7 linked regions of the Callithrix jacchus genome follow. The protein of the gene in region 1 interacts with the protein of each later gene in a pairwise test. Links are inferred from orthologs where the notes say so. Each region holds a gene or a part of one and is shown in the gene's direction. Other genes may lie near its edges. The genes, in order: AGTRAP, MYG1, MIEF1, SENP2, HSCB, BPIFA2 and COQ8A.

What was found.
Region 2: the proteins of AGTRAP (region 1) and MYG1 interact in binary tests that used the Homo sapiens proteins (3 or more experiments, as listed by UniProt). The two-hybrid records come from large-scale screens. The link is inferred for Callithrix jacchus from reciprocal best matches to the Homo sapiens genes AGTRAP and MYG1.
Region 3: the proteins of AGTRAP (region 1) and MIEF1 interact in binary tests that used the Homo sapiens proteins (3 or more experiments, as listed by UniProt). The two-hybrid records come from large-scale screens. The link is inferred for Callithrix jacchus from reciprocal best matches to the Homo sapiens genes AGTRAP and MIEF1.
Region 4: the proteins of AGTRAP (region 1) and SENP2 interact in binary tests that used the Homo sapiens proteins (3 or more experiments, as listed by UniProt). The two-hybrid records come from large-scale screens. The link is inferred for Callithrix jacchus from reciprocal best matches to the Homo sapiens genes AGTRAP and SENP2.
Region 5: the proteins of AGTRAP (region 1) and HSCB interact in binary tests that used the Homo sapiens proteins (3 or more experiments, as listed by UniProt). The two-hybrid records come from large-scale screens. The link is inferred for Callithrix jacchus from reciprocal best matches to the Homo sapiens genes AGTRAP and HSCB.
Region 6: the proteins of AGTRAP (region 1) and BPIFA2 interact in binary tests that used the Homo sapiens proteins (3 or more experiments, as listed by UniProt). The two-hybrid records come from large-scale screens. The link is inferred for Callithrix jacchus from reciprocal best matches to the Homo sapiens genes AGTRAP and BPIFA2.
Region 7: the proteins of AGTRAP (region 1) and COQ8A interact in binary tests that used the Homo sapiens proteins (3 or more experiments, as listed by UniProt). The two-hybrid records come from large-scale screens. The link is inferred for Callithrix jacchus from reciprocal best matches to the Homo sapiens genes AGTRAP and COQ8A.

What each region holds. Positions count from the first base shown.
Region 1 is NC_133508.1:49,636,402-49,638,938, forward strand, and holds the end of AGTRAP (type-1 angiotensin II receptor-associated protein), read left to right. Parts: intron 1-64; coding exon 65-180; 3' UTR 181-2,037; downstream 2,038-2,537. UniProt on the Homo sapiens protein: Appears to be a negative regulator of type-1 angiotensin II receptor-mediated signaling by regulating receptor internalization as well as mechanism of receptor desensitization such as phosphorylation.
Region 2 is NC_133510.1:66,252,564-66,256,550, reverse strand, and holds the start of MYG1 (MYG1 exonuclease), read left to right. Parts: upstream 1-1,187; 5' UTR 1,188-1,223; coding exon 1,224-1,439; coding exon of another isoform or gene 1,440-1,522; intron 1,523-1,636; coding exon 1,637-1,749; intron 1,750-3,987. Other genes in the region: PFDN5 (prefoldin subunit 5), read left to right, coding at 757-833. UniProt on the Homo sapiens protein: 3'-5' RNA exonuclease which cleaves in situ on specific transcripts in both nucleus and mitochondrion. Involved in regulating spatially segregated organellar RNA processing, acts as a coordinator of nucleo-mitochondrial crosstalk.
Region 3 is NC_133502.1:190,253,263-190,257,214, forward strand, and holds the start of MIEF1 (mitochondrial dynamics protein MIEF1), read left to right. Parts: upstream 1-1,152; 5' UTR 1,153-1,228; exon of another isoform or gene 1,229-1,785; intron 1,786-3,256; 5' UTR 3,257-3,284; coding exon of another isoform or gene 3,285-3,497; 5' UTR 3,498-3,588; intron 3,589-3,952. Other genes in the region: MIURF (mitochondrial ribosome and complex I assembly factor AltMIEF1), read left to right, coding at 3,285-3,497. UniProt on the Homo sapiens protein: Mitochondrial outer membrane protein which regulates mitochondrial fission/fusion dynamics.
Region 4 is NC_133516.1:14,535,832-14,539,921, forward strand, and holds the start of SENP2 (sentrin-specific protease 2), read left to right. Parts: upstream 1-1,290; 5' UTR 1,291-1,393; coding exon 1,394-1,494; intron 1,495-4,090. UniProt on the Homo sapiens protein: Protease that catalyzes two essential functions in the SUMO pathway.
Region 5 is NC_133502.1:199,430,530-199,434,529, forward strand, and holds the start of HSCB (iron-sulfur cluster co-chaperone protein HscB), read left to right. Parts: upstream 1-1,200; 5' UTR 1,201-1,228; coding exon 1,229-1,464; intron 1,465-1,634; exon of another isoform or gene 1,635-1,711; intron 1,712-3,697; coding exon 3,698-3,794; intron 3,795-4,000.
Region 6 is NC_133506.1:6,119,884-6,123,977, reverse strand, and holds the start of BPIFA2 (BPI fold-containing family A member 2), read left to right. Parts: upstream 1-1,294; coding exon 1,295-1,451; intron 1,452-4,094. UniProt on the Homo sapiens protein: Has strong antibacterial activity against P.aeruginosa.
Region 7 is NC_133520.1:22,353,897-22,357,991, reverse strand, and holds the start of COQ8A (atypical kinase COQ8A, mitochondrial), read left to right. Parts: upstream 1-1,295; 5' UTR 1,296-1,436; intron 1,437-2,157; exon of another isoform or gene 2,158-2,729; intron 2,730-3,883; exon of another isoform or gene 3,884-3,992; intron 3,993-4,095. UniProt on the Homo sapiens protein: Atypical kinase involved in the biosynthesis of coenzyme Q, also named ubiquinone, an essential lipid-soluble electron transporter for aerobic cellular respiration.

The sequences.
Region 1 (2,537 bases):
TCAGCAGAATGTCTTGAGGTCTCCCCATTCACTTTTCTTTCCCATCATGTCCCCTGCCACCCAGGTTTCCTTGGATCTTCTCAGGACCGTAGTGCCTACCAGACGATTGATTCACCAGAGGCACCCGCAGATCCCTTTGCAGTCCCAGAGGGCAGGGGTCAAGATGCCCGAGGGTACTGAAGCCAGCCACGCTGCCTCCAGCCCCACCCCAGGTTCTAGGGATGCTCCTGACCTCTATCTCTGGGACCTAAGATGGAATGTGTCTCCAGCCCACGGGTTACCTGAACCAAGTGCCTTGAGAGACCAGGAGCCCCCATGGGCCACCCAGTACACACACTCCTGTCTCAAACTCCCTGAGGCCTCCCTCCCTTCAGGGCACCCGCTGGTTCCCGGGTTGGAATGAAAATCTTTCTTCACCTCCTACTCCATCAAGGCACCACACAGGCCCCCAGCTGAGTCCTGCATGACTGTGGCAGGCTCAGGCCTTTAAGTCCTGGTGATGTCTGTTTGTTGGGCTTTGGGGGAAGCCCTAGAGCTTCAGGTCTGCTCAGCCCAGGAGCAGTCTGGCATGGGAGTGAGGTCCTGTGCTTCTCACTGCCTGGTCATGTGGTGCCTAGCGATACAGGGCTGGAGGCCAGAGGCATCAGCAACACTGACCCACCACAGCCTCCAGCCTCCCTTTTTGGAGCCACAGCATTAAAGTTTGGGGAGTTCTGTAGATGGGCTGTGTTTTGAGCCACTTTCAGTCTCCTGGCTGGGGTGGGGCCTGGCCTTGTTCCTGGGAAGATTTCTCCTGCCAATTCCCAGGTGGAGCCTGCGCTGGGCCACCCCATTCTGTTGTGGCAGGAGGAAATGGGCATGTTTGTTGGCTGAGCTGGGCTTCTGCCTGACTCTGGCCTAGCAGAGGCCACAGCAGAGAGACACTGCTGGGTGTGGTGCGTGGCATCCATTTCTCTGAACCAGATGACCCAAGCACTGGTTTGAATCCTGCTCTGCCACTTACTAGTTGCGTGCCTTCAGTGTCTTCTAGAAAGGGTGGGTGCCTGCTCCAGGTGTAAAGTGTCTGGTGTGAGGAGGGCTCCCTAAGTGATGGCGAAGTTGTTAGTGGACTTGCTCCTCACACCAGTGATGATGCTGGGTTAGGCAGCAGAGGGGGAACTCTTCCTGGCAGCCCCTGTGTCTGGTCACAGCTGACTTGGGCTGACTCATCCAGAAGCTCCCCAGGGCCCAGGCCTTCCCCACTGACAGGTCTGGCTCTCCACAGCTTGCTCTTCTGCCCCCTGGGCGCCAAGTGCCAGGGCTTTCCCAGGCCATCCTGGCTTGTCCCTGGCACAGGGTCAAGGCCTAGTGCACAGCCCCCATCATTCACTTGTGTCCATCTGTCAATCAAGAGACTCAGTACCTGCCTGGTGCTGAGTGGGCTGGGGGCTGCAGTGGTGACCTTTGGAGCCTGCTCTCTCGACCTAGGAGTCTTCCCACCTGGAGGATGACAGACAGGGGCAAGAGCCCCAAAAGACGGGGACATGGGCCTCTGGGCCAGGAAGGAAGACTGCTGTGGGGAAGGGGCTGTGCTCCGGGGGCTGCCGAGCAGCAGCAGTTGTGAGAAATTGGAAACAGCCACGCTGTCAGGAGACAGACCAGTAACCCACAGTCCATTCATTACAGGGAGCACAGACCAGTAAGCCACAGTCCATTCATTATAGGGAATGTGGACCAGTAAGCCACGGTCCATTTACTGTAGGGAATATGGACCAGTAAGCCAAGGTCCACTGTAAGCCACAGTCCATTCACTATAGGGAGCACAGACCAGTAAGCCACGGTCCATTCATCATATGGAGGACAGTGCAGTAAGCCACGGTCTGTTTATCCTATGGAACCCGGTGCAGCAGTTACAGCAGATAAACCAGACCTATTCCTACCAACGATGGTCCCCAAAAATATGAACAAAGCAGATTGCACAATGGCATTGGGATGAATTTTCAGACCTCACAGTTTGGTGTGTGTTGTTCCTGGGTGTATGTGCAGTAAAATAGAAAAGCAGGGACTAGAAGGACACCTGTCAAGTTTATGACTGAAGCCATCCTGGGTGGAGGGGGGAGTGTGGCCTGAGGGGAGTGGGACTAAGACCCAAGTCCATTTCTCTTGTGTACACGGCTTCCTGGCCCCAGGAAGTCTTGTTAAGTGCCTGCATCGTGAACATGTCGGATTCCCGAAGGGAATGAGAAGCCAGGGCAGGGGCTTGGCCCAGGCAATGGGGAGCAGATGATGGAGCCTCGACCACCCAGAGGGGAGAGTGTATCTAGAGGCCTCGGTTTCTCATCGTCCCAGATCCCCAGGTTGAACTGGCTCTTTGGGGGAGAGGACAGAGGAAAGCTCCTGTCTTGGGGGTGCCCCAAAAGCAGAGCCTGTGATGAAAGCAAGGGAGCTGGGTTTTCCAGTCATTGACCAGGAGCCACTCAGGGAGTGGGAGAGGCTGACTTAGATTTGCAGGCACCATGACCCCTGACCATGCAGACAGTTGGGACCCCGAGAGCCAT
Region 2 (3,987 bases), on another chromosome or scaffold:
AGGAAGGTGTAGATTGCAGTGAGCCGAGATCACCCCATTGCACTCCAGCCTGGCAACGAAGTGAGACTCTGTCTCCCCCCAAAAAAGCTCCCCTCTGTTAAAATCAGAATTCAGAACCAGTGTTCTAAAGGTAAAAATCTTTCCACATTATAGTCTTCTGATTATGTGTGAAAGGTAAAAATCTTTCCACATTATAGTCTTCTGATTATGTGTGACTCATTTAGTGTTTGTTTTTATATCTGCGGTTAGCATCTTTTTTTTCAAGACGGAGTCTTGTTCTCACCATAGACCCTAAATTTGTGTTAGTGACCTCACAGTGGATCACTGAGTTTTATTAATGCCGGGTGCGGTGGCCTATGCCTGTAATCCCAGTACTTTGGGAGGCCAGTGCGGGTGGATCACCTGAGGTCAGGAGTTCAAGACCAGTTTGGCCACCATGGTGAAACTTGGTCTCTACTAAAAATCAAAAATTAGCTGGGCGTGGTGGTACATGCCTGTAATCCCAGGTGTTTGGGAGGATGAGGCAGGAGAATTGCTTGAACCTGGGAGGCAGAGGTTGCAGTGAGCCAAGATCATGCCACTGCACTCCAGCCTGGGTGACAACAGTGAGATTCCATCTCAAAAAAAAAAAAAAAAAAGTTCTATTAATAAACTGCAGTTAGTTGTTCTCCTGTCCTTAAACTTGCCTGTCACTTCTTAACTCTAGATTCTCCTTTTTGCTTGTCACCAAGATCTGACTCATCTTTTTTTCTACAGCTGTCATGGAAATGATGAGCCAGAAGATTCAGCAGCTCACAGCCCTGGGGGCAGCTCAGGCTACTGCTAAGGCCTGAGAGTTTTTACAGAAATGGGGAGGGACACCCTTTGGGCATGGCTTCCTGGTGCTGGAAAGGGAAGGGTCTTGTGTTTAATGCCAATAAATGTGCCAGCTGGGTAGAATGTTGGTCTTTTCTTGGATTAAGCAAGGGATTGGTGATGAGATTGCGGGGGTGGCCGAGAGTGTGGGCCTCGCCCCAGAGCCTGATGCACAGGGGTGATGCGGTTCTCTTCTTGGAGGCTCCACCGCAGGGCCCTTTGACCAGCTGGAGGAAATCCTATGCTGGGACTGTGCTGCTCACGCTGCAGAGCTGGTTGCCAAGGGAACGGTCGCTAGGCGGAAGTGGAGGTGCACCGGTACTTCCTTTTCCGGGTCGGCGCTCCCGCCTCCCTGCGGGGAGGATCTGATGGGCCACCGCTTCCTACGCGGCCTCTATACGCTGCTGCTGCTGCCGCCGCCACCCTTCTATAGCCGGCACAAGTTCGGCCCAGAGTCCGTCCCGCCCTCGAAGCGACCCTGCAGCAAACTCATGGCACCGCCCCGAATTGGGACGCACAATGGCACCTTCCACTGCGACGAGGCACTGGCATGCGCACTGCTTCGCCTGCTGCCAGAGTACCGGGTATGGTCCGCAAAAGTGACCCTGAGACTGCGTGCATGCATTGCCTCCAGGGTGGACGGCGTTCCGCTATCAGGGTCTCTCCGGTAGCGTCCAGCAGCCCAAGCACCCTTCCTACCTGCCCTGCATCCCTGAAGTCCAGCATTAATCCCCTACCCGGCAACCCCTGGCAGCCCCTTCACCCATTATGTACCTCACAGGATGCAGAGATTGTGCGGACCCGGGATCCCGAAAAACTCGCTTCCTGTGACATCGTGGTGGACGTGGGGGGCGAGTACGACCCTGAGAGACACCGATATGACCATCACCAGAGGTAGGTTCCCAGATATCATTTATTTAACTTCCTTGATCTCAACTTTCCTCTGCTCCAATTGAGCCATCCTTGGTCCGTGTCAGGGAAAAGAACTGCCTCATCTTTGAAGTCAACTCCCGCTAGGATATACCATCCTTCTTTCCGGCTGTCTGCTCTTCACCCATCTCCCTGGCCTGGGACCTTCCTTGGTTCCAAGAAGTCCCTCGAGCCCCTTCCTTATCTCATCTCCTTCCTTAGCCAAGGTTTTGGGGGTTTTTTTCCCCACCAGCGACTTCGTCCCAGCTAGATAAAGCCATCTGTTTTTATTAGTCCATTCTGGTGCCCTTGCTGCTGCACCTAACTGCTGGGCCCACATGATTGTGGCAGTTGATGACAGTTCAAATGTGTGAAGTTTTCTACTTTATTTACACCCTTCCAAAGGGAAATCCTTGCTCAAGGGTAGTCCATTCCAATCCTTTTCTTCCCCCTCAAGCCTCTACAGCATCAAACTCAATGTCCCTGCCTCTTCTTAAAAGAAATTACCAGGTCTTCTTTAGATTTATGATGTAGATGCCATCACACACACACACAAAAAAAAAAGAAATTAAGCATTTCCTCCCACCCCAAACTATCCTCAGCTCCCTCCTACCAATTCAGGGAAGTTTGTTCCCTTCTATCGGAGATTAATCCTCTGCCCTGTTTCCAGTCTATTACTTTGTCCTCTGGGATTTTTTTTTTTGAGACAGAGTCTTGCTTTGTTGCCCAGACTGGAGTGCAGTGGTGTGATCTCAGTTAACTGCAATCTCCACCTCCGAGGTTCAAGCGATTCTCCTGCCTCAGCCTCCTGAGTAGCTGGGACTACAGGCACGTGCCACGTAATTTTTGTATTTTTAGTAGAGATGGAGTTTCACCATATTGGCCAGGCTGGTCTCAAACTCCTGGCCTTGTGATTCACGGCCTTGGCCTCCCAAAGTGTTAGGATTATAGGCGTGAGCCACTGCCAGCCTATCCTTTGGGATTTCATGTCACAGTTCCACCAGTGTCTTTGCCTCGCCTTCCCTACAGCCTAAAACCCTTCTCAAGTATCTTCCATCTTTAAGAGAAATAAAGATATAAAAACAAAACCCTCCCTCAATTATACCATACCATGAAAAGTAATTATCTTGGAGAGAGGGATTTATGATGTTTTGAGTCTCTCTTTTTTTTTTTTTTTTTTATAGCATACATATTATTATAAACAATGTCAGGAGGAAACCCTCCCAATATTTACAGCCTAAGCTCTCACACTCACTCCTCAGCTGCCCTTCAAAAATCAGCTGACCATGGCTTCACCTCTTCCTTTCCAGTTCATTCCCCTTGAGCCCACTCCCAGTCTCCACTGGAACTGCTCAACAGAAGGGCACCAGTGACCTCAGCACCAAACCAGGGAGCTGGCACAAAAGGTCTCAATTGATCTCTTTAGCACTTGGCATTATTGACCACCTCCTTTTATCAAATTGTTTTGTTTATATACACTTAAAAATTATACATTTGAAACAAAGAATATAACGTTTCTAAAATATCGAACATAAAATGAAAGTCTCCCTGCCTAAGAAACTAGAACATAGCCAGTACCTTTGCATCTATACCTGTGTGCTTCTCTCCATCCTGTCCCACACCGGCCCCCAGAAGTGAGCAGTGTCCTAATTTGTGTTCTTCATACGCTTGTCCTTCTGTATAGTTTAGCAAATGTCTATTTGCATGAACAGTATGCTTAGTTTTGCTTCTTTCTGAACTTTTATGGGGGGGTTAACTATCATTTGTGTCATACCTGTGAATATTTTATATATTCTTTTGTATTTACTCAGTTTTTTGTTTTATTATTTTTAAGACAGAGTCTCATCTGTCACCCAAGCTGGAGTACAGTGGTGCAATCTCAGCTCACTGCAACCTCTGCCTCCCAGGGTTCAAGTAATTCTCCTACCTCTGCCTCCCGAGTAGTTGGGACTACAGCTGCCCACCGTCATGCCTGGCTAATTTTTGTATTAGAGACAGGGTTTCACTATGTTGGCCAGGCTGGTCTCAAACTCCTGACCTCAGGTGATCCACCCGCCTCAGCCTCCCAAAGTGTTAGGATTACAGGCGTGAGCCACCATGCCTTGCCTCAGTTAGTTAGTTTTAGTTTTTTTGAGATGAAGTTTCACTCTTGTTGCCCAGGCTGGAGTGCCGTGGTGCAATCTCAGCTCACTTCAACCTCCACTTCCCAGGTTCAAGCGATTC
Region 3 (3,952 bases), on another chromosome or scaffold:
TGGCCTCTTTGCCAGCTCCTGCTCACCTGGCTTCGGAAGCACTGGCCTTCTCCCTGCTGCTCCTAGATCACACTGAGCTAGCTTAAGGGCTTATCTGGGGACAGGCCTGAAAAGCTCTTCCCTGCAAAGTTCTTCTGGTTTTTGTCCTTTTATCAGATAGCCAGATAGCCTGTAATTGCCCACCTCTCCTGGTAGATATTACTTTTGAATCCTCACCATAGCCCCAAGGCTGGGAGAAGTTAGGAAACGCGGCAGAGGGCAGCTGTCCCTAAGTGGTGGAACTGGAACTAGGACCCAGCGGTGGCCCTGGACTCCAAAGCCCCAGGCCCTGGCTTGGTTGAGCCAGGCACTGAGGGAGGCACTTGGGGGTGGGGCGTTCCATAGAGACACAGCCTCTGTACTCAAAACTAATGAGAGACAGAGAAGCAAATGGATGAATCACAGTGCCTGGCAAATGTTAGGTGCCAATAAATATGTTTTGTTGTTGAACAGATTAAGAGCCTTAAGGTGTGTAGACATTTCTGTGGGGCCTAAAGAAGGAACAAGAGTGCGAGGGAGGCAAGGAATGGGCTAGGAGAGATTTCTCAGTGGAGGGGGACATTTGAAGTAGACCTTGAAGGAAGGGTAGGAGTTTGTTAGAAGCCACTAGGCCTGGAGAGTGGAAACAGCATGGAGGGATGGAAAGAAGGCGATCTGAGAAAATGGGTTTGGAAGAGCTCTGAATATTAGTGTTATAATTCCCTCAGGTACCCCAGGGCCCCAGCTAGAGATCAACAGATGGTGCAGGAGGCTGGCCTGGCATCCCGGACAGGCTAAGGGGCCGTCAGCAGGTGAGGGCCCCTTAGCCTGTCCTATCCTCTGACTCTCTCTGCCAGCTCGGGACCTTCCCGGTACCTACAGCCGGACCCGGACCCAGGGGTCCTCTGGGGGCGGGGCACGAGTGGCCTCTGCAGGCCCGTCCCTTGTTGACGTCACACAAGGATGACACGGAGGCGGGGCTCAGGATTGGGAGGAACCATGCATAGGGGGCGGGGCCCGAGAGAGAGCGTGGAGGAGAAGACCGGAAGTCCCTCAGCCCTCGCCCGCCCTCGTGCTCCCTTCAGCCCCTTCGCAGCTCCGTACGCAAGGTCGTGTCCCGGAAGTTAAGGGGCCATGTTGATGGGTGACCCCGAGAGAGGTACCGGGCCAGAGGCGAGTCCTGCGGAGTGGTAGCGCGTGCGGCCTGCGGGTGAGTGAGAGAACGAGTGAGGACCGGCGGCGGGTGAGCGGCTGGGAGTTCGCAGCGCCTCCCCTCAGGCTGCTGCCGGCGCCCCGCATGCGGCCCAGGCCCGGGATACCGGCCTGCCGCCGGGGTCTTGCCTCATTCAGCCCTGGGCTTTCCCCTGCGAGGCCTCTCGGTAGCCCCGCCCCGCTCCAGCCTCAGAGTCCTCCCGGGTCCCCAGGCCGGTCTACCCCGGCCCGGCCCCCAGGGTCGGGGAAATGCGGACTGGCTGGAGCTCAGCCGCCCACTTGCTCAGCGACCTTGTAGTTACAGCCCTCGTCGTGACAGTCGCCTTTTACCTCATCAGACACTTGTCCTGTTGATTTCCTGCATCGGGAGGCCCTTAGGGCCGCGGGAGCTCTTATGAGGAAAAATGGACAGAGATGGTGACTTGCTGAAGCTTGCGCAGGAAGTTAGCAAGGCCGGAGGCCAAGGGCTAGCTGACTTTGGGCCCAAAGTCCAATCTTTTTTTCCAGCCAAATACCTCCGCCACTTGGTCTCATTTCTTTGTTTCTGAAACGAAGGTGATCATTTTTTCCACATAGGGATGCTGTGAATGCAATTCCCTCATTCGTTAAATATAATTTTGAGCCCTTGTATGTGCCAAGAGCTGTGCTGGGAAAGTTCGTGGAGCACCCAGAACTGGTGTACACATGGTCCGGCTCCAGCAAAGAGTAACTCATTCCACAGGCAGGCAGAGTCTAGAAGAGTGCAGCCCTCCCCTTGAGAGTTGTGGGCCCTCGGGCAAGTTGTGGGCCCTCTGAGAGATTGTTTCCTTCACCTAAAATGGGGTAATGATAACCCTAGGGTAGCTGACAGAATGAGTTGTTATATGAGACGCTTAGAACATTGCACAGTGGGCCAGGTTGGGTGGCTCAAGCCTGTAATCCCAACACTTTGGGAGGCAGAGGTGGGTGGATCACGAGGTCAAGAGATCCAGACCATCCTGGCCAATATGGTGAAACCTGGCTCTACTAAAAATAGGAAAATTAGCTGGGTGTGGTGGCAGAGGCCTGTTGTCTCAGCTACTAGGGAGATGGCTTGAACCCGGGAGGTGGAGGTTGCAATGAGCTGAGATCAAACCAGTGCACTCCAGACTTGGCGACAGAGACTCCGTCTCAAAAAAAAAAAAAAAGCATTGCACATGTATATAGTGCAATAATATGATGCAATAAGCATTAACGGTTCCTAAGAACCCTGACTACCTCCTAGATTGATAGTTTAAATGATAGTGGGCAACAAAGCACTTTACAAATAGTCTGGTGTAAGGGTTTATTGTTACTGAAGGAAGACAGTGGTAGTTTATACTTAAATGTAATATTTATTGAGCATTTACAAACCTGGCCAGGTGGTACTAATAATAGCTGCTATTGATAGTGTTTAGTGTGTGCCAAGTGCTGTTCTAAACATGTTCACATACATTAAACTCATCTAGTGCTTATGCCAACCACATGGACAAAATACGATTTTTATCCTCACTTTACAGATGAGGAACTGAGACAGGCACAGAGAGGTTAGGAGGCTTGCCCAAGATAATGCAGCTCGTAAGTGCTGGTGCTGGGATTCAAGCATGACTGAGTGCTTGTCTTCAAGCACTCTGAGACCACTCCCTCTGGTGAAGTTCTATTACTATTCTTTACATGCACAGTTCTTAAAATAACCCTAGGTTGTGGGTACTATTGCCATAATATCCTAATCTCCATTTTATAAGTGAGGAAGCTGGTGGTCATCAGGGCTTAAGTCCTTTGCACAAAGTCATATGGCAAGTAAGTGTCAGGGCCAGGATTTGAGCCCTGGTGAACCACAACCTGTATGTTCCCAGAATGGGCATTCAGAGTGGGGGTCTCTAGTCCTACCTAGCCTTGCCATTAAGTCATAGGGTGACCTAGGGGGTCTCTGGAACTTGGATTAAAAACCACTCACTACATAGTCTGTACAGGTCCTTTTGTTATTAATCCTGATACTAGGCTTGTCTGTCTTTCCTTCTGTTTATAGTGTGACACCCAGCCCCTGCCAGTCCCCCATGGCCCCGTGGAGCCGAGAGGCGGTGCTGAGTCTCTATCGGGCTCTGTTGCGCCAGGGCCGACAGCTTCGCTACACTGATCGAGACTTCTACTTTGCCTCCATCCGCCGTGAATTCCGAAAAAATCAGAAGCTAGAGGACCCTGAGGCCCGGGAGAGGCAGCTGGAGAAGGGCCTGGTCTTTCTTCACGGCAAATTGGGAAGGATAATTTAGGCTCCTCCAAAGGAAAGAGGACAAAGGTGCCTTCTGTAAACACTCCTGGTCTCTCCCATCCCCACCTCACAGATGCATTAAGAAGCTTCAGGTATGTAGACCCTCGTTCCTGTAGATTTCATTATTTTTTGTCACAAGGGACTGAGGAAAGGACCAAAGTCGTTCTTTTAGTCACTAGAAATGAGTGGAGAGCCGGGTGTGGTGGCTCATGCCTGTAATCCCAGCACTTTGGGAGGCCGAGGCGGGTGGATCACGACGGTCAAGAGATCGAGACCATCCTGGCCAACGTGGTGAAATCCTGTCTCTACTAAAAATACAAAAAATTAGCTGGGTGTGGTGGCGCGTGCCTGTAGTCCCAGCTACTTGGGAGGTTGAGGCGGGAGAATCACTTGAACCAGAGAGGCAGAGGTTGCAGTGAACTGAGATTGTACTACTGCACTCCAGTCTGGCAACAG
Region 4 (4,090 bases), on another chromosome or scaffold:
CACCTCGGCCTCCCAAAGTGCTGGGATTAAGGCAGGAGCCACCTCTCCCGACCTATAGTAGGCAATTAACTAGAAGTACGACTTTGGGATTGTAGAGGGAGGGTAATGAGACTCATTCCTTACCAGCCCAGGGTAGGAGACATTAATGGCCGGCAGGTTTCACCCTTAAATTTCTGTGAAGCCTTTCTTGACATCTGCCCTTTCCTTCTCTCCTTCAGTGTGTGCTTTTCCTTTCTCTGGCTCCCACTGCACTCTGCACATACCTTTATCACAGTAACCACTTATGCTGTATTGTAATTTGTAATTATCTATGTACACGTCTCCAAGTAGACTGACCTTAAGGGCTTGTACTCAGCCCCCGGGTTCAAGTTCCAGCTACGTCTCTAGTTAGTTTTGTGATCTTAGGCAAATAACTTAATCGCTCTATGCCCCAATTTCCTTGACTTATAAAGTTGGCATAAAACTCTCTGTCATATGCGGTTGCTGGGCGACATTAAGGTGACAATGCGTGTAAAGTACGAGGCAAAAGGTAAGTACAAAATAAACGGCTCTTGGCCGGGCGCGGTGGCTCAAGCCTGTAGTCCTAGCACTTTGGGAGGCCGAGGTGGGTGGATCACGAGGTCAACAGATCGAGACCATCCTGGTCAACATGGTGAAACCCCGTCTCTACTAAAAATACAACAAATTAGCTGGGCACGGTGGCGCGTGCCTGTAATCCCAGCTACTCAGGAGGCTGAGGCAGGAGAATTGCCTGAACCCAGGAGGCGGAGGTTGCGGTGCGCGGAGATCGCGCCATTGAACTCCAGCCTGGGTAACAAGAGCGAAACTCCGTCTCAAAAAAAATTTTTTTAAAAAATAAAAAAAATAAATGGCTCCTAAAACGGTAAACATGTGTTAATTAACCTGATCCACCTTTACGTGTGCAAACACTTGAGCACCAAATGTCCTCTGGAACCCCGGAACGCCTTCTCCTCGGTGGAGCAGCCTCACGTGTGGCCTGTGGGCCTTGTCCCACGGGCCGGCTCGGAATTGGCTCCGCCGAAGAGAAAACTCTGCCCACAGCCCTTCCGATCTCGTCAGCGATTGGGCCGGGGCCGTCCCACACTTATTCTTGTTGCTGGGCTCGGAAATAGGGGGCGCTGCCAGGTTGCGCGTGCGCAGATTGAGAATGAAGTTTTCCGGTTGGGCGGGAGGAGGTAACGTCAGGAGCGGTGGCGGGCGGGGGCCTCGGGTAGCCCTGGGGACGCTCTATCTGTGGGCCCTTAAATCGCGTCACAAATCAGCGACCGAACTCCGGCTGTGGTGGCTGAGACGGCGAAGGCGGCAGCGGCGGCGACAGCTCTGGGGTTTGCGTCTCGGGGTGTGTCGGCCGCCGCTGCTGCTCGGGCCTGGTATGTACAGATGGCTGGTTAGGATTCTCGGCACCATTTTCCGTTTCTGCGACAAGTCGGTGCCCCCTGCCCGGGCCCTCCTGAAGAGGCGGCGCTCAAACAGGTGAGACCAGAGGGGGCTGAGCAGCGGCCTGGCCCTCCCCCCTCCCCCACAGCGGCCTCCTCGGCGGCTGAGATGCTTTGATTCAGCCAGGCTCACCTGAGGCGGGTCACCGGGGTCCGAGTGACGTAGCCGCCCCCGCCACGCCGTGGGGAGGCAGCTCCTGGTCGTCTTCGGAGCGGCAGATGATGGCAGGGTCGTTGACGTTCTTGTCAGAGGCCACGCTGGTTGCCGATAACTAATGGGGCTTTGCCGCGCTAGGCTGAACACCAACATTGAAGGAATACTGCCTTTGTTGTGGCTCACTGCTCACAAAGCAGCCTCCCAAGTGTCATCTGCGGTCATTAAGTGCATTTAAAGGAAGTGAGAGTCATACATTGCCCAAAGCCGTTTTGACTGCAACCACTGTCCTTGAAGCGAGAAACAGCAGCTGTTTTGTTCTGAAACAGCTGTCAAACAGTCTGTGTTTGGGGCCAGAAGGGTTTTGTGTTTTAGAATTAGTGAATGAGAAAAAAGGGCTACGTGCCTTATTACTTTAAAACAGTCACTAGTCTGTCCTCTTAAATTAAGTTAAAATTTGGGGGAAACTCAAAGCAGTTTTCTTTTTCTTTTCTTTTTTTTTTTTTTTGGTTGAGACGGAGTCTTGCTCTGTCGCCAGGCTGGCGTGCAGTGGCGCGATCTCGGCTCACTGCAACCCCCGCCTCCTAGGTTCAAATGATTCTCCTGCCTCAGCCTCCTGAGTAGCTGGGATTACAGGCGTGTGCCACCACGCCTGGCTAATTTTTGTATTTTTGGTAGAGATGGGTTTCACCACCTTGCCCAGGCTGGTCTTGAACTCCTGACCTAAAGTGATTTGTCCACCCCAGCCTCTCAAAGTGCTGGGACTGCAGGCATGAGCCGCCGTGCCCCGCCCCAAAAGCTGTTCTTATTTAGCATCTGCTCTTTGGAGCGTCCCATTTTATCGAATCGACTGACCTCCTTGCCTAGAAATTAATCTAGAAAATAACATACAAATTCTGCCCCCTCCCCAAGTTCAGTGATCAAGTGTTAATTTCATTTTTTAAAAATTAAGCCTCAATATCAAGAAAAGTGAAAGAAGTGGTGATTTGTGGAAGCTTGCGAGGACAAGATGTCTAATACGTTAGTCTGAGAATGCAGGTTATTAATGAAATTGGTTGTTGCTTAAACTGCATCTCTGGAATACATTGCCTTATTTTTCTCTCCTATCTTTCTGTGGTGTTGATGTAAGGTTCATTTGAGAACTTGTTGTAAAGTGCTTAAACTGATGCTCAATGTATATAAGGGTAGTGTTTGTTTATTCTACCCCGGGGTCTTTTGCAGACTCTGGTGCATGATAAGCACTAGGTACATATTTATCAAATAACAGAAAGTTAATTCCCTTTCCCTTGTCCTCTTTTTGATGTGAGTCCCTTCTAGTCTGGGGAACATGGTTTGGAGATCAAAACCTTGATTTTTACTACATGTTAAGTGTGTTCACATCCTTAATCCAATTTTCAGTGTAAACCAATTTTCAGTCAAAATGAAACCAGGAGGCTTGTTGGAATGTATAAAGGTATGAGCTGAGTGGAATCCTGGGATCTCATTCTTCTCATTTTGTGTGTGTGTGTGTATGTGTGTGAATATAATAGATGATAGGTGTTCAGAGAGACGATGAGTAATATGCTGTGAGCCTTTAACATTCTTGACATCTGGATCCTGAAACTTTCCTCAATTCCGAAGTTCTTTATTACCACCATAATGCAATGTAGTTTGCATGATAAAAGTTATTAAACACCTTTTTCTGATTCAGATTTCTCTCTTTTAAGTTGTAGAACAGGTTTTTTTTGTTGTTGTTTGTTTGTTTTTTGAGACGGAGTTTCATTCTTGTTGCCTAGGATGGAGTGCAATGGCGTGATCTAGGCTCACTGCAGCCTCTGCCTCCCAGGTTCAAGCAATTCTCCTGTTTCAGCTTCCCGAGTAGCTGGGATTACAGGTGCCCACCACTATGCCTGGCTAATTTTTGGTATTTTTAGTACAGATGGGGGTGGGGTGGCATGGGGGGGGCGTGTTTCACTACATTGGCCAGGCTGGTCTTGAACTTCCGATCTCAGGTGATCCACCTGCCTAGGCCTCCCAAAGTGCTGGGATTACAGGCGTGAGCCACTGTGCCTGGCCTTGTAGAACAGTTTTTTTTTTTTTTTTTTTAACTCCCTTACACACACAAAAGAAAAAACAAAAATTAAAAAAAAATATCTTTTAAGGCTGTTCATGTTAATACTGTCACCTAAAGTAAAAGATGGCTTTCTAGGCTGGGCGCGGTGGCTCACGGCTATAATCCCAGCGCTTTGAGAGGCCGAGGCGGGTGGATCACACGGTCAAGAGATCGAGACCATCCTGGTCAACAAGGTGAAACCCCGTCTCTACTAAAGCAAAAATTAGCTGGGCATGGTGGTGCACGCCTATAGTCCCAGCTACTCAGGAGGCTGAGGCAGGGGAATTGCTTGAACCCAGAAGGCAGAGGTTTCGGAGAGCCGAGATTGTGCCATTGTACTCCAGTCTGGGTAACAACAGCGAAACTCCGTCTCAAAAAAAAAAAAAA
Region 5 (4,000 bases), on another chromosome or scaffold:
TTGGGAGGCCGAGGCAGGAGGGTCACCTGAGGTCGGGAGTTTAAGATCAGCCTGACCAACGTGGAGAAACCCTGTCTCTACTAAAAATACAAAATTAGCTGGGCGTGGTGGCAAATGCTTGTAATCCCAGCTACTAGGGAGGCTGAGGCGGGAGAATCGCTTGAACCCAGGAGAAACTGGTTACGGTGAGCCAAGATTGCGCCCTTGCACTCCAGCCTGGGCAACAAGAGCAAAACTCTGTCTCAAATTAAAAAAAAAAAAGAAAAAAAAAAGAAAAGAATATGTGTTTATCATCACTGAATTGTATACTTTAAAATGGTACAAATGGTAAATCATATATGTATGTTTTATATCACAAATAAGTAATTTAAAAAAAAAATCCAGAGGACTTACAAGTGAAACACCATCTTTTTTTCACCTAGAAAACCTGAGTCCGAAGGAGGACTAATGTCCTCCTGCCCACTCCTGGCCACCCCATCCCATATACTTAGGGACACTTGCAGAACATCCTCCTACACACCTCAGTGCGTTTCCAGTTCCTGCAGCGCCCAGTAGCTAAGACTGGTCTCTCTGTAAGTATTTTAGATATTGAACCTAAAGAACGGAAATGATTACAAACATCTGTAGAACTTTTTACAAAGTAACTTCGTTCTGATATTGAAGAACACAACTCTGTTCCTTCTTATCCTGTATGTTCAGGCCTGTTTCAGCTTGTAAGTAACACGGGAAGTGAATTTCACCTCGAGGATGATCTACTAAAAAGGAAGAGAGTCGCCCACACACTCCCCCTTCAGCTCAAAAATACAAACAAAGCGAAGCTCAGGAGACTCCCCTCGCACAAAACGCTGAGGATGGGATTCGAACCACCTAACACCCAACAGAAGGTCCCCATATGACTCACCGCGTGAGCCCACCTGGAGCCGCACACTCTCCGCAGCCTCAGCCAGCTGAGTGGCGCTAAACCTGCAGATACAAACTCCACCCTCAGCCAATCAAAACGCCCTCCCCTGCCGCCGGACCAATGAGAAGCAGCAGATGTAGCCGTCAGGCGTCGCCTCAATGCTTCCTGGGAGTTGTAGTTTAGAAGGCAGAGCGGAACTCAGAACCCAGATTCCCCTCGGTTGTTCCCGCCCCCTCGACTCCCCGACCAATCAGCAGCATTAGTCTGGTTGGCCGCTCTCTCTGCTTTTCCCCACTAGTGACCGCGGCTAGATAGGCCGCCGGCAAGATGTGGCGGCGGAGAGCTGGGGCTTTGCTCCGGGTGTGGGGGTTTTGGCCGCCCGGGGTTCCCGGAAGGAGACCGCTAAGCTGCGATCCTGCGTCGCAGGCGGGAGGCAATTCGCCCCTCTGTTGGAATTGCGGCAGCCCAGGGGGCCCGGGGCGGGAGAACGGGTTCTTCTGCCCACAGTGCCGAGCGCTGCAGGCACCTGACCCCACTCGAGACTACTTCAGCCTCATGGACTGGTACGAGCGACGGTTTCGGAAAAACCTGCCGGAGCGAGAGAGACGTCGGGGGCTGGCCTGCGAGAGGGAAGGGCGGATCTGGCTGGCGGAAGAGAAGGCGGAACTAATAGGGGGGCGGAGGTCTGGAGAGCAGGCGTTAGAGAGGTGTCTGGATTTCTCAGGAGGAAATTGAGAGGCGGGGACTGAGGGATGCAGCGTTGAGGTGTGGAGAAGGGAGAGGAACTGGACTGGAGCGGCGGGCATTGAAGTTAGAGAAAATGGGGGGCCGAGGCTACAGTGGAGGGAGATTTGAGGGGCGGTACCGACGAGAAAGGTTAGGAGAAGTCGAGGGGCGGAGTTTGAGGAAAGGGCGCTTGAGGGCCAGGGCCTGGGAGACTGGATGACTTGAATGATAGTGTCTGGAAGGTTTAAAGTTGGGTTGATGTTTTTAAGAAAGGACTGCAGAAGGCCGGGCGCGGTAGCTCGCGCCTGTAATCCCAGCACTTTGGGAGGCTAAGACGGGCGGATCACCTGAGATCAGGAGTTCAAGATCATCCTGGTCAATATGGTGAAACCCGGTCTCTACTAAAAATAGAAAAAAGTAGCTGGGTGTGGTAGTGCGCTCCTGTAATCCCAGCTACTTGCGAGGCTGAGGCAGGAGAATGGTTTGAACCCGGGAGGCAAAGACTGGAGCGAGCTGAGATGGCGCTACTGCGCTCCACCCTGGCAACAGAGTGAGACTCCATCTCAAAAAAAGAAAAAAAGGACTGCAGTAGTGTGGTCCAAGATTGGGGAGTAAAGCATGAAAAGCTTAATATTGTGGGCGAGGCCTAAGGGAAAAGTGAGAATTGGAGGGAGAGGGTCCAATACATGGGGTTTTTTCCCCTGAGGGTGAGGATCTTGGAGAGATGGGGCAGTGTGGACACAGCTGAACTGGTAAGGAAATAGGACAGATTTTGGGAGTAGAAAGTGAAAGGGGTTAGATTAAAGTAAACTGGGAGACAGGGATAAAGGGACCTGAACTGTGGAAAGATAGGGAGATAGGGTGGTATTTAAAAAAAAAAAAAAAAAAAGGCCGGGGGCGGCGGCTCACGCCTGTAATCCTACCACTTTGGGAGGCCGCGGTGGGTGGATCACCTGAGGTCAGGAGTTCAAGACCAGCCTGGCCATCAAGGTGAAACCCCATCTTAATAAAAAAAATTAAAAATAAATAAAAATTATTCAGTAGCACTATTCGAGCACCAAAGGAAGCCTTTTTTCAAGACCATTTGTAGAGGGACCACTGCAATAGGGTCTTGCAGTGGGGGAGAGAGATTGGTCTCAACTCCAAAAACAGCATGCCCAGGAGGGAATTTGTAGCCAAGGAGCAGAGTAAGTGGGATTCTGACTAAACCAACCTAACAGGACTCTTGCTAAAGACAGGCCAGGGTGCTCAGACACTTCCTGGAGGATGGTAGGGGATGAAGAATCTAATCAGAGATCTAGGGTGATAAAATATAAGGATTGAGGATTGTAGCTAAACTGTTAGCAAGGTTCTTTGCCAAAACTGGATTATACAAGAAAGCACACAGCAGGGCCTAGGAGAAGGTTGGAAATCTGACTAAAGTTTGGCCAAGCAAAGAATCTTTGTGTAATTTAGGAATGTCCCTTTCCCTTAACTATGGAATCTGCCCCCACCAGTCACTGAACATGTATTAGCAGCTGCAATAACACTAAGTTCCTCAGCATCCCCATCTTGCTCTCACCTCAAGGTCCTTGCTCTTGGAATTCTACCTGGATGACTCTTTGTTCTGATCTTTGATTACTGATCATCATTCCAATTTCAGCGTAATGCCATGTCTTTGTTCACTACATCTGCTACCCTCTTTGACTCTGTTCTGTATCCCTTCATAGCACCTACTACTTTTTTTTTTTTTTAAGACAGTTTCGCTGTTGTTACCCAGACTGGAGTGCAATGGCACGATCTCGGCTCACCGCAACCTCTGTCTCCTGGGTTCAAGCAATTCTCCTGCCTTAGCCTCCCGAGTAGTTGGAATTACAGGCGCGCACCACCATGCCCAGCTAATTTTTGTATTTTTAGTAGAGACAGGGTTTCACCATGTTGACCAGGATGGTCTCGATCTCTTGACTTCATGACCCACCTGTCTCGGCCTCCCAAAGTGCTGGGATAATAGGCGTGAGCCACGGCTCCCGGCCTGGTAAACAAATCTTTAAATATTTGTCACATAAATTTAATCTCTCAATTTCCTTCCAGCAACTGTTCCTTCAGAGTTGATACTGTGAAGCTCCAGCACAGGTACCAGCAACTGCAGCGTCTTGTCCACCCAGATTTCTTCAGCCAGAGGTCTCAGGTAGCTTATTGGCCAACCCCAATAATCCCCAAATATGTGTGCATACCAGGGGGAAGTGGTCTTGTGACTATGTGTTTATCAGGGACGGAGCTGGAAAATCAGCTGTATCTGCCCATGGCAGTCTGACCCCAGCCTGCCAGACCCAGAGCTCTCATTCACTCACAGCTTTTGTCTGACTTCCCAGATAACTTAAAACCTATAGGCTG
Region 6 (4,094 bases), on another chromosome or scaffold:
ATGGGTCCTCCTGCCAGGACATTCTCCAGTTCATTCATTCTCAGCCTTCTCCCCAGTCCCCACCCACAAGGACCACCGGCTTGGCAGCTGCAGGCTCCATGAGGACCTGCTCTTAGTCTTGGCAGAAAGCCCTCTCCATAACCATCCATTTAAATTCAAGCATCCTGGTTGACCTTTGGGTTGGAAATCTCTCTCTGCTCATCCTGGAGAGGGGTTAGTTTCCTTGGAGTATCCTTGGATGGTCCCGGAACCAAGGCTTGTTTCTGTGGGCAGTCTTCCATCCCATCACCACCATATAAGGGCCACCAATGTTCAGCAGAGTCCCGGCAGACTGCGCAGCGGGGAAAGGATCTCGTGAGCATCCTCCTCTAAACCCGTGAGTGCCATGCTTCCCCCAGTGGTGTCCCACATGGTGGTTTTCAGAAGGCTTTGGGGGCTAGAGGCAGAGGGGCGGGTTGCTTGGGTTAGCTAATATTTTGAGTACGGCAGAGATAATCAATATAGCTCTAAATTTGCTCTAAACAACAAATTAGTGATGAGTACTCACTGAAGATTCCATTTCCCTCTGGGCAATTCTCACTACTATTCCTCCCATGACTGTCCAGATGTCAAGATAAATAGCAAATCAGAGCAAATTTAGATATCTATAGATTGTATTAAAATAAGTGTCAAACTGATGAGCAGTGCAGAGTCATGAGGTGGTTGCCATTGGTTTGTTCAATATTTGTTTACTGTACTGTACTAGGTGCAGGCTTTTACTGGGGCCTGAGGATTTGACAGTGAAATAAGTTACAGTCCTTCCCCTAAATCCTTCCCCTTTGTCAGCCTGGTAGGAAAGGCAGACAAATCATCAGGGAAGTGTTACCCAGGACCTTGATCAGGATAATGAAGACAGCAAGGTGAGACTCCCCCAACCTAGAATCTGGGTAGGGGCCTAGAGTAGGCTTCACAGAGGGCATGATGTAGGAATTGACCAACGTGGAAAAATGAAGAAGAAAAATATTTTAGGCAGAGAAGACAGCGTGTGAAAAGGAACTTTGTATCAAGAGTATGGGCTTGGAGTCAAGTCTGACTTTTCAAATCCCAGCTCCTCTGCTCACTGGCCATGTGTCTCTGGGCAAGTTGCTGTAACATTCTGACCTTGGCTGCCCATTCGTAAAACAGGAAATAACCACATCTGTCTTAAAGGAATGTTAAATGTTAGGAGTGATTGGAACTCATTGAAGATTCCATTTCTCCCTGGGCAATTCTCACTCCTGTTCTTCTCATGACTGTCCAGGTGTCAAGACAAAAGATGCTTCAGCTTTGGAAACTTGTTCTCCTGTGCAGCCTGCTCACTGGGACCTCAGCGTCTCTTCTTGGCAATCTTGGTGATGACCTGAGCAATGTCGTGGATGAGCAGAAACCTGTTCTTGACGAAGGACTTAAGACAATTGACAATACTCTTAAAGGTAAATCAACAAGTGTGATGATCAGTGTCACCTAAATTAGCCTCCTAAACACTATGCCTGCATTACCAGAGGCTGCCACCAGGGGCTACTCTTTATGGGTGGTTTACTGAGAAAAGTGGCTATTCAATTCCTGGCTGATTCGTTTATCTTTCTAGGAACAAGCAATGCCACGTGAATATCCTTCTACATATTATATCCTGATAAACGTTTGCCAATATACACATAAGGTAAATTCCTATAAGTGGGATTTCACAAGTTCAAAAACTATGCTGTTGACAAATAATCTCCTATGTTAACACTTTCTCTGACAGTCTACAAGAGTGCCTTTTTTTCCAATCCCTTTCCAGCACTGGGTATGGACAATTTTACATGCCCTGCCAGTCTCACAGATGAAAAGTGATAACTTATTTCACTTTGCATTCCTCTAATTATAAAAGAACCCTCTCCTTTTTCATATATTTACTGTGTACTTACATATTTTAACTTGAGTATTTTGTGTATTCTTAGCATATTTTTCTTTGGGGGTTCTTTTATTCACTCGTGCTAATTCAGTGAAAATTAGGGAAATTATCCCGACCTAACCTCAGTATCTGTAAGGCTACCTACCTTTATATTTAATTATATCTCCTTTTTATGCTAACATTAAAATAACTTGGCTTTCTTTTAGTTTTGTGGAAACATTAGCAGCATATCAAAAGCAGTTTTGGTAGGAGGAGGTAACTTCTGCACATGGTGCCTTTCAAACCTTGTCAAGGACTTAGGTAACTTTCAAAGATGCAGAAAGGACTCACTCTAATTTTATAGCTGGGACACCTGAGACCCAGAGTCAGAAATGTCTAAACCAAGGTCACCCTAGTGAGCTGTACAATCAGATGTAGTTATATCACCAATTTTATTTAAAGCGTCATTCTCCCAATCATTGCAGCTAGGTAGATACTGTCCATGACAGAGCCAAGTTACAACATTATGATTACATCTCTTTCCTTATATAGTTTTTGGTTTTTCCTTAAGTTAGTAATTGCCCTGTTGTTTCTCAGTTGAATTATTTTCTCCCCATGTGTGCTTAATTCTTTTCATGGGCATCATCCTATATCGACCATGACATTTATTCTTTTTTGAAACAAGGTCTCACTCTGTCACCCAAGCTAGAGTACTCTGGGAGCCTCAACCTCCTGGGCTCAACTGATCCTCCCACCTCAGCCTCCCCAGTAGCTGGGACTATAGGTGCATACCACCACACCTGGCTAAGTTTTACATTTTTTGTAGAGATGGAGTCTCATCATTTTGCCCAGGCTGGTCTCGAACTCCTGGCCTCAAGCCATCCTCCTGTCTTGGTCTCCTGAAGTGCTGGGAGTATAGGCATGAGCCACCACACCAGGTCACAACATTTATTCTCATCCCCCTGTTCTCCAGAGACCTATCATAAGACATGTTGTCCTCCTCCTCCTATAAGAATTACTGCTTCCTTTTTTTGCAATTGCTTTTGGTGTCATGAAGTCTTTGCTCATGCCTGTGTCCTGAATGGTATTGCCTAGGTTTTCTTCTAGGATTTTTATGGTTTTGGGTTTTACATTTAAGTTTTTAAACCATCTTGGGTTAATTTTTGTATAAGGTGTAAGGAAGGGGTCCAGTTTCAGTTTTCTGCATATGGCTAGCCAGTTTTCCCAGAACCATTTAGTAAATAGGGAATCCTTTCCCCATTGCTGTTTCTGTCAGGTCTGTTGAAGATCAGATGGTTGTAGATGTGTGGTGTTACTTCTGAAGTCTCTGTTTTGTTCCATTGGCCTATATGTCTGTTTTGGTACCAGTATCATGCTGTTTTGGTTACTGTAGCCTTGTAATATAGTTTGATGTTAGGTAGCATGATGCCTCCAGCTTTGTTTTTTTTGCTTAAGATTGTCTTGCTATACGTTCTCTTTTTTGGTTCCATATGAAATTTGAAGTAGTTTTTTCTAATTCTGTGAAGAAAGTCGATGGTCGTTTGATGGGAATAGCATTGAAAGTAAAAATTACTTTAGGTAGAATTGCAACGTTCACAATATTGATTCTTCCTCTCCGTAAGCTTGGAAAATTGACAAATGGGATCTAATTAAACTGCAAAGCTTCTGCACAACCAAAGAAACTAGCATTAGAGTGAACAGGCAACCTACAGGATGGGAGAAAATGTTTGCAATCTACCCATCTGACAAAAGTCTAATATTCAGAATCTACAAGGAACTTAAATTTACAAGAAGAAAACAAACAACCCCAACAAAAAGTGGGCAAACAATATGAACAGACACTTCTCAAAAAAAAGACACTTATGCAGCCAACAAACATATGAAAAAAACTCATCATTACTGATCATTAGAGAAATGCAAATCAAAACCACAATGAGATACCATCTCATACCCGTAAGAATGGCAATTATTAAAAAGTCAGGAAACAACAGAGCTGGCAAGGCTGTGGGGAAATAGGAACGCTTTTACACTGTTGGTGGGAGTGTAAATTAGTTCAACCACTGTGGAACACAGTGTGGCGATTCCTCAGGGATCTAGAACCAGAAATGCCATTTGACCCAGCAATCTCCTTACTGGGTATGTATCCAAAGGAATATAAACCATTCTGCTATGAAGACACATGTACACATATGTTTACTGCAGT
Region 7 (4,095 bases), on another chromosome or scaffold:
GAACTCTGTTATTCCATGGGCTGTCATGTGGGTTACTAGGCTGGGAATGCTTGGAGGAAGCAGGCAGTATAAGGCAACAGTTACCAGGAAGGAAGCAACGGCCACCCTTGAAAGGCCTGGAGGCTTGGTCTGTTTCTCCTGAGTGGGAAAAGGGAGCCAGCTGACCTAATCAAGACAAGTTGTGAACTGTTCTGCGGCAGTTACTTGAAACTTGAGTCAAAATAACTCCTTAATTCTCCTTTAAAATGGACTTTGTATTTAGTGTGGTGAAGATGGGGGAGGGCATGTCAATGTCTGTGCAGAGAGGAGCACCCACCAGCTGACCAGTGCCCAGCCACAGCCGCTACAAGGCACAGTCTCCATTCTCCTTGGAAGAAAGCCCTCCCATACCCCTAGGAAGAATAGAGCCTGACACAGAGCTGTGTTCACCCACATCACACACACTTGCAATTCTGTTCTTGGGGACTCAGGCAGACCTCTGGGAAGCCAAGCCCCAAGTGGTCAATGGGGAACTGTGAAGTTAGGTTCGCTTCTGGATATCATGATAATAAAGCAGCCCTAACTTTAGGCATCAACCTAGAACAGCTAACTTTAAATTTTTCCAAGTGATAATATAAAACAAACGACTTTCAATAAAGTTAAATGTCAATACTGTGAAACAAAAAGTATCTGTATCAGTTTAGAAATTTATGTTGTGAAGGTCAAGGACTCGCGCCCAGGAGACAGGTCTGTGTCTTTCTCCAAAGATGATTTTGAGGGCTTCAGTATTTAAAGGGGAAGAGCAGTATGGAGGGGAAAGATGGAAGGTGTGGTCACATTACTGAATCCACGTGTTGTGATAAAATGAGCAGGTAGGGAAACAGCCAATTATGTATTTGTCCAGTGCTCAGTAAATCGGCACTTTACACAAGATAAGGTGAACATAAAATGGAGATACTTTAATCTGTAGCTACCTGCTTAGGAACATTGCTTGCATGACTCAGCTTTCAGCTTAATTTTTTTCCTTTTGGCATAGTGAATTTTCGTTTCACAATACCAAAAAAAAAAAAAAAAAAAAAAAGTTGGCGGGGGAGGGGGGAGGCTCAGAATAAGGAACAATCCTTTGGCTTGAATATTTCATTTTATGAAAAACTTACTAAATTTTTCTCACTTTTCCACAAGAACAACTAACATAGCTGCAGACCAGTGTTTAGGGGTCACTTGAGTGGAAACTGTCGGGCCGACCTTGGCTCATACGTTCCTTTTCTCGTTAGGGAGGGAGTGACGGGGCAAATCTGCGTGCTGCTGGTGACGGTGCCTCCCAGGGCTGCTCCGGGGCCGCCGACGGCTGGACCTGAGCTCCGTCCCTTGTTGGCTGCGCGCCCCCGAAAACCCCGGGGGTCAGCGACTGCGGGCACCTGCAGGCCGACGAGACCGGCAGGCGGACAGCGACTCAGGTGAGCGCCCTGTCTATCCTTGGGGCGCAGCTGGCAGAGGCTTCCTGTTTTGAGGATGGCGCCACACAAAACAAGCATCATTAACCCGAAGGGCCGGGACGCTGGAGGCGGAAGTGCGATCGGCCTTGCTCGCCGCGCTTCCACTCCTCAGAGTGCTTTTTGTGGACACTGGGAAAGGGGCTCTTGCTACAGAGTGGAGCAAAGAGCAGCCCTCGCCCGGTCCTTAAAGCAGCGGCACCCTCCACGCCCACAGAAGCGTCTGCTCGGCCCACAGCCTGCCCTCCCAGGCCCACGCGGAGGTCCAGCAAGCACCAGTACGGAGGCAACAGGCACACGCGTGGCCTTTTCGGCCGCGCACGCCGCTTCACAGTATAAAAGGCACCCGTTCTTAGGGCGCATGCGCGCAGGCCACCAACTCCAAAGCCAGGCCTCCTGCCAGGATTTGCTAACTAGCGGGAAAGGTAGCTGGGAGGTAGGGAAGAGGAGAAAGGGAAGAGACCCGTGGGCTAAGACAGCTTCCCACTGGCTTCTCTTGCTCCGCCCTCAATGGCGATTGGCTACAGACCGGGAGCACGGGCCGAGCACGCTCCCACGTGCCGAGCGGCGTTCAGCAGGCGGACCGTGGCGCCGCCAATGGGAGCGCCCTGCGGGGCGGGGCTTGGGCGCTGGGCCTCCCCGGGCGCCAGCCAGTTGGTAAATAGATCCGGAGCGCGTGGTGGGCGTCAGCGTGGCTGCAGTCGCGCAAAGGCGGCTGGAAGGTGACCGCGGAACCCAGCTTCCTGCAGCCGGGTAAGGCTGCCACCCGCCGGCCCGCCGCGTGCAGGAGCGCCGTCTGGCTGCGGCCAGAGCCAGGCTTAACACCCACCTGAGCCCTTCTTGCATTCTCTTCATGTGACAGCACGGCTTCCCCTGGCGAGTTTCGCGGGCCGCGAGCTTCAGGTCGGACGCAGTGGGCGCCCCGCAGGTGCAGGGTGGGTCCTCTGCAGCTGTCTCCCGTCCCTGTGTCCACCTCAGCCCCTCGATCCTGCTTCGGTGAGAAGACGAGGGCCGCGTGCAGAACCTTGGGTCCCTGGAACACGCCCGCTGCCTGCCCGACCGCCTTCCCGCTGCTAATCACCCGCTGCCCGTGCCCTTTGGTCGCCAGTACAGCTTTCCTGCCTCGCTTTCTAATGTTGTTCTAACTCCCAGACCCTCTTGCACTGTGTGTGGGTCTTGCGGCTCTAACTGCCCCTGGCTGCAGGTTTGGGTCCGAATTTGACTACCTTGACTGGAGCCAGCTGTTGGGCTTCACAGGTGGGAATTTTGGGTGGACTTGGGACAGGGGGGTCCTTTTTGATCCTTTTTTCCTTTTGCTTTTCTTTGGCTTTTTCTACTTCTCCAAACGCTGGGAGTCTTGTGAGTGGTTTGGGCTTACTCCCCTAAACTCCAGCCTTTCCAAGGCTCATTCCTACCCATTGCACAGAGGTAACAGCCCCTCTGCCAAACCCACCTTGGGCGATGGGGAATGTTGCAGGGGCAGGTTTGGGTATTGGGACTCCCCATCTGGGTGCAAGATGTCAGCTTTCTGGAGGGTAAGAGGCTTGTGTACAGTCTTCCAGCCTGAGTTGGGCCTGCAGCCTGTTGAAAAACTTGTGCACGTTCACTTGGGCCTTGGATCTATCTACGTGACATGACTGGGTAGCTCGTAATGCCAGGTCTACCTGATTGCCAAAGAATTTGAACATGCATTGATGCCAGCCTGCCAGTTGTCACGCTGTGGATGGGTGGGTTTCCCTGGCAGGAGGGCTCTTCGGAGACTCTTCTTTCAGAGGAAAGCCTTTCACCTGAGGAGAGACAAAAGGGGAGCTACAGGAGCAGCATTTTTAAGACTCAGGTGCTGGGCGCTGTGGCTCACGCCTGCAATCCCTGCACTTTGGGAGGCCGAGGTGGGTGGATCATCTTAGGTCAAGAGTTGGAGACTAGCCTGGCCAAAATGGCAAAACCCCATCTCTACTAAAAAAATACAAAAATTAGCCGGATGTGGTGGTGGGCGCCTATAATCCCAGCTACTCCAGAGGCTGAGATGGGAGAATCGCTTGAACCTGGGAGGTGGAGGTTGCAATGAGCCAAGATGCGCCAATGCACTCCTCCCGGGGCAACAGAGCAAGATTCAATGTTAAAAAACCCAAACAAGCAAACAACTCAGGCGATGACTTTGAGTGTTTTGCTCAGCCTTGCAAATAGTGCGGACTATGCAGAATCGTCATGATTTGGGGCCTAATGTTGAGCGATTCAAAGGAAAAGTAAACTGGGTGATCTGGGCGCCTCCCTCAGAGCCAGTGTGTTATCTAAGACAAAGTTTTTCAGCCTGTGGACTAATGACGTTTTGGACCCATAATTCTGTCGTGGGGGGGCCTGGCCTATGCATTGTAGGATGTGCAGCAGTATCCCTGGCTTCTGTGTTTTAGACTAGCACCACTCCCCGCCCCTTCTAGCCGTTGCAACCATGAAAATGTTTCCAGACACTGCCACATGTCCCCTGGAGGGCAACATCTTCCTTGGTTGAGAACCACTGAGGTAAGACTCTAAAAAGAGTTTTCCTATGCTGCCAGTGGCCCCTCTGGGACCTGCCCGTGAGTAGGTGAGAGGTTTAGGCAAAGGGTTGTGTTGTGCCTACTGC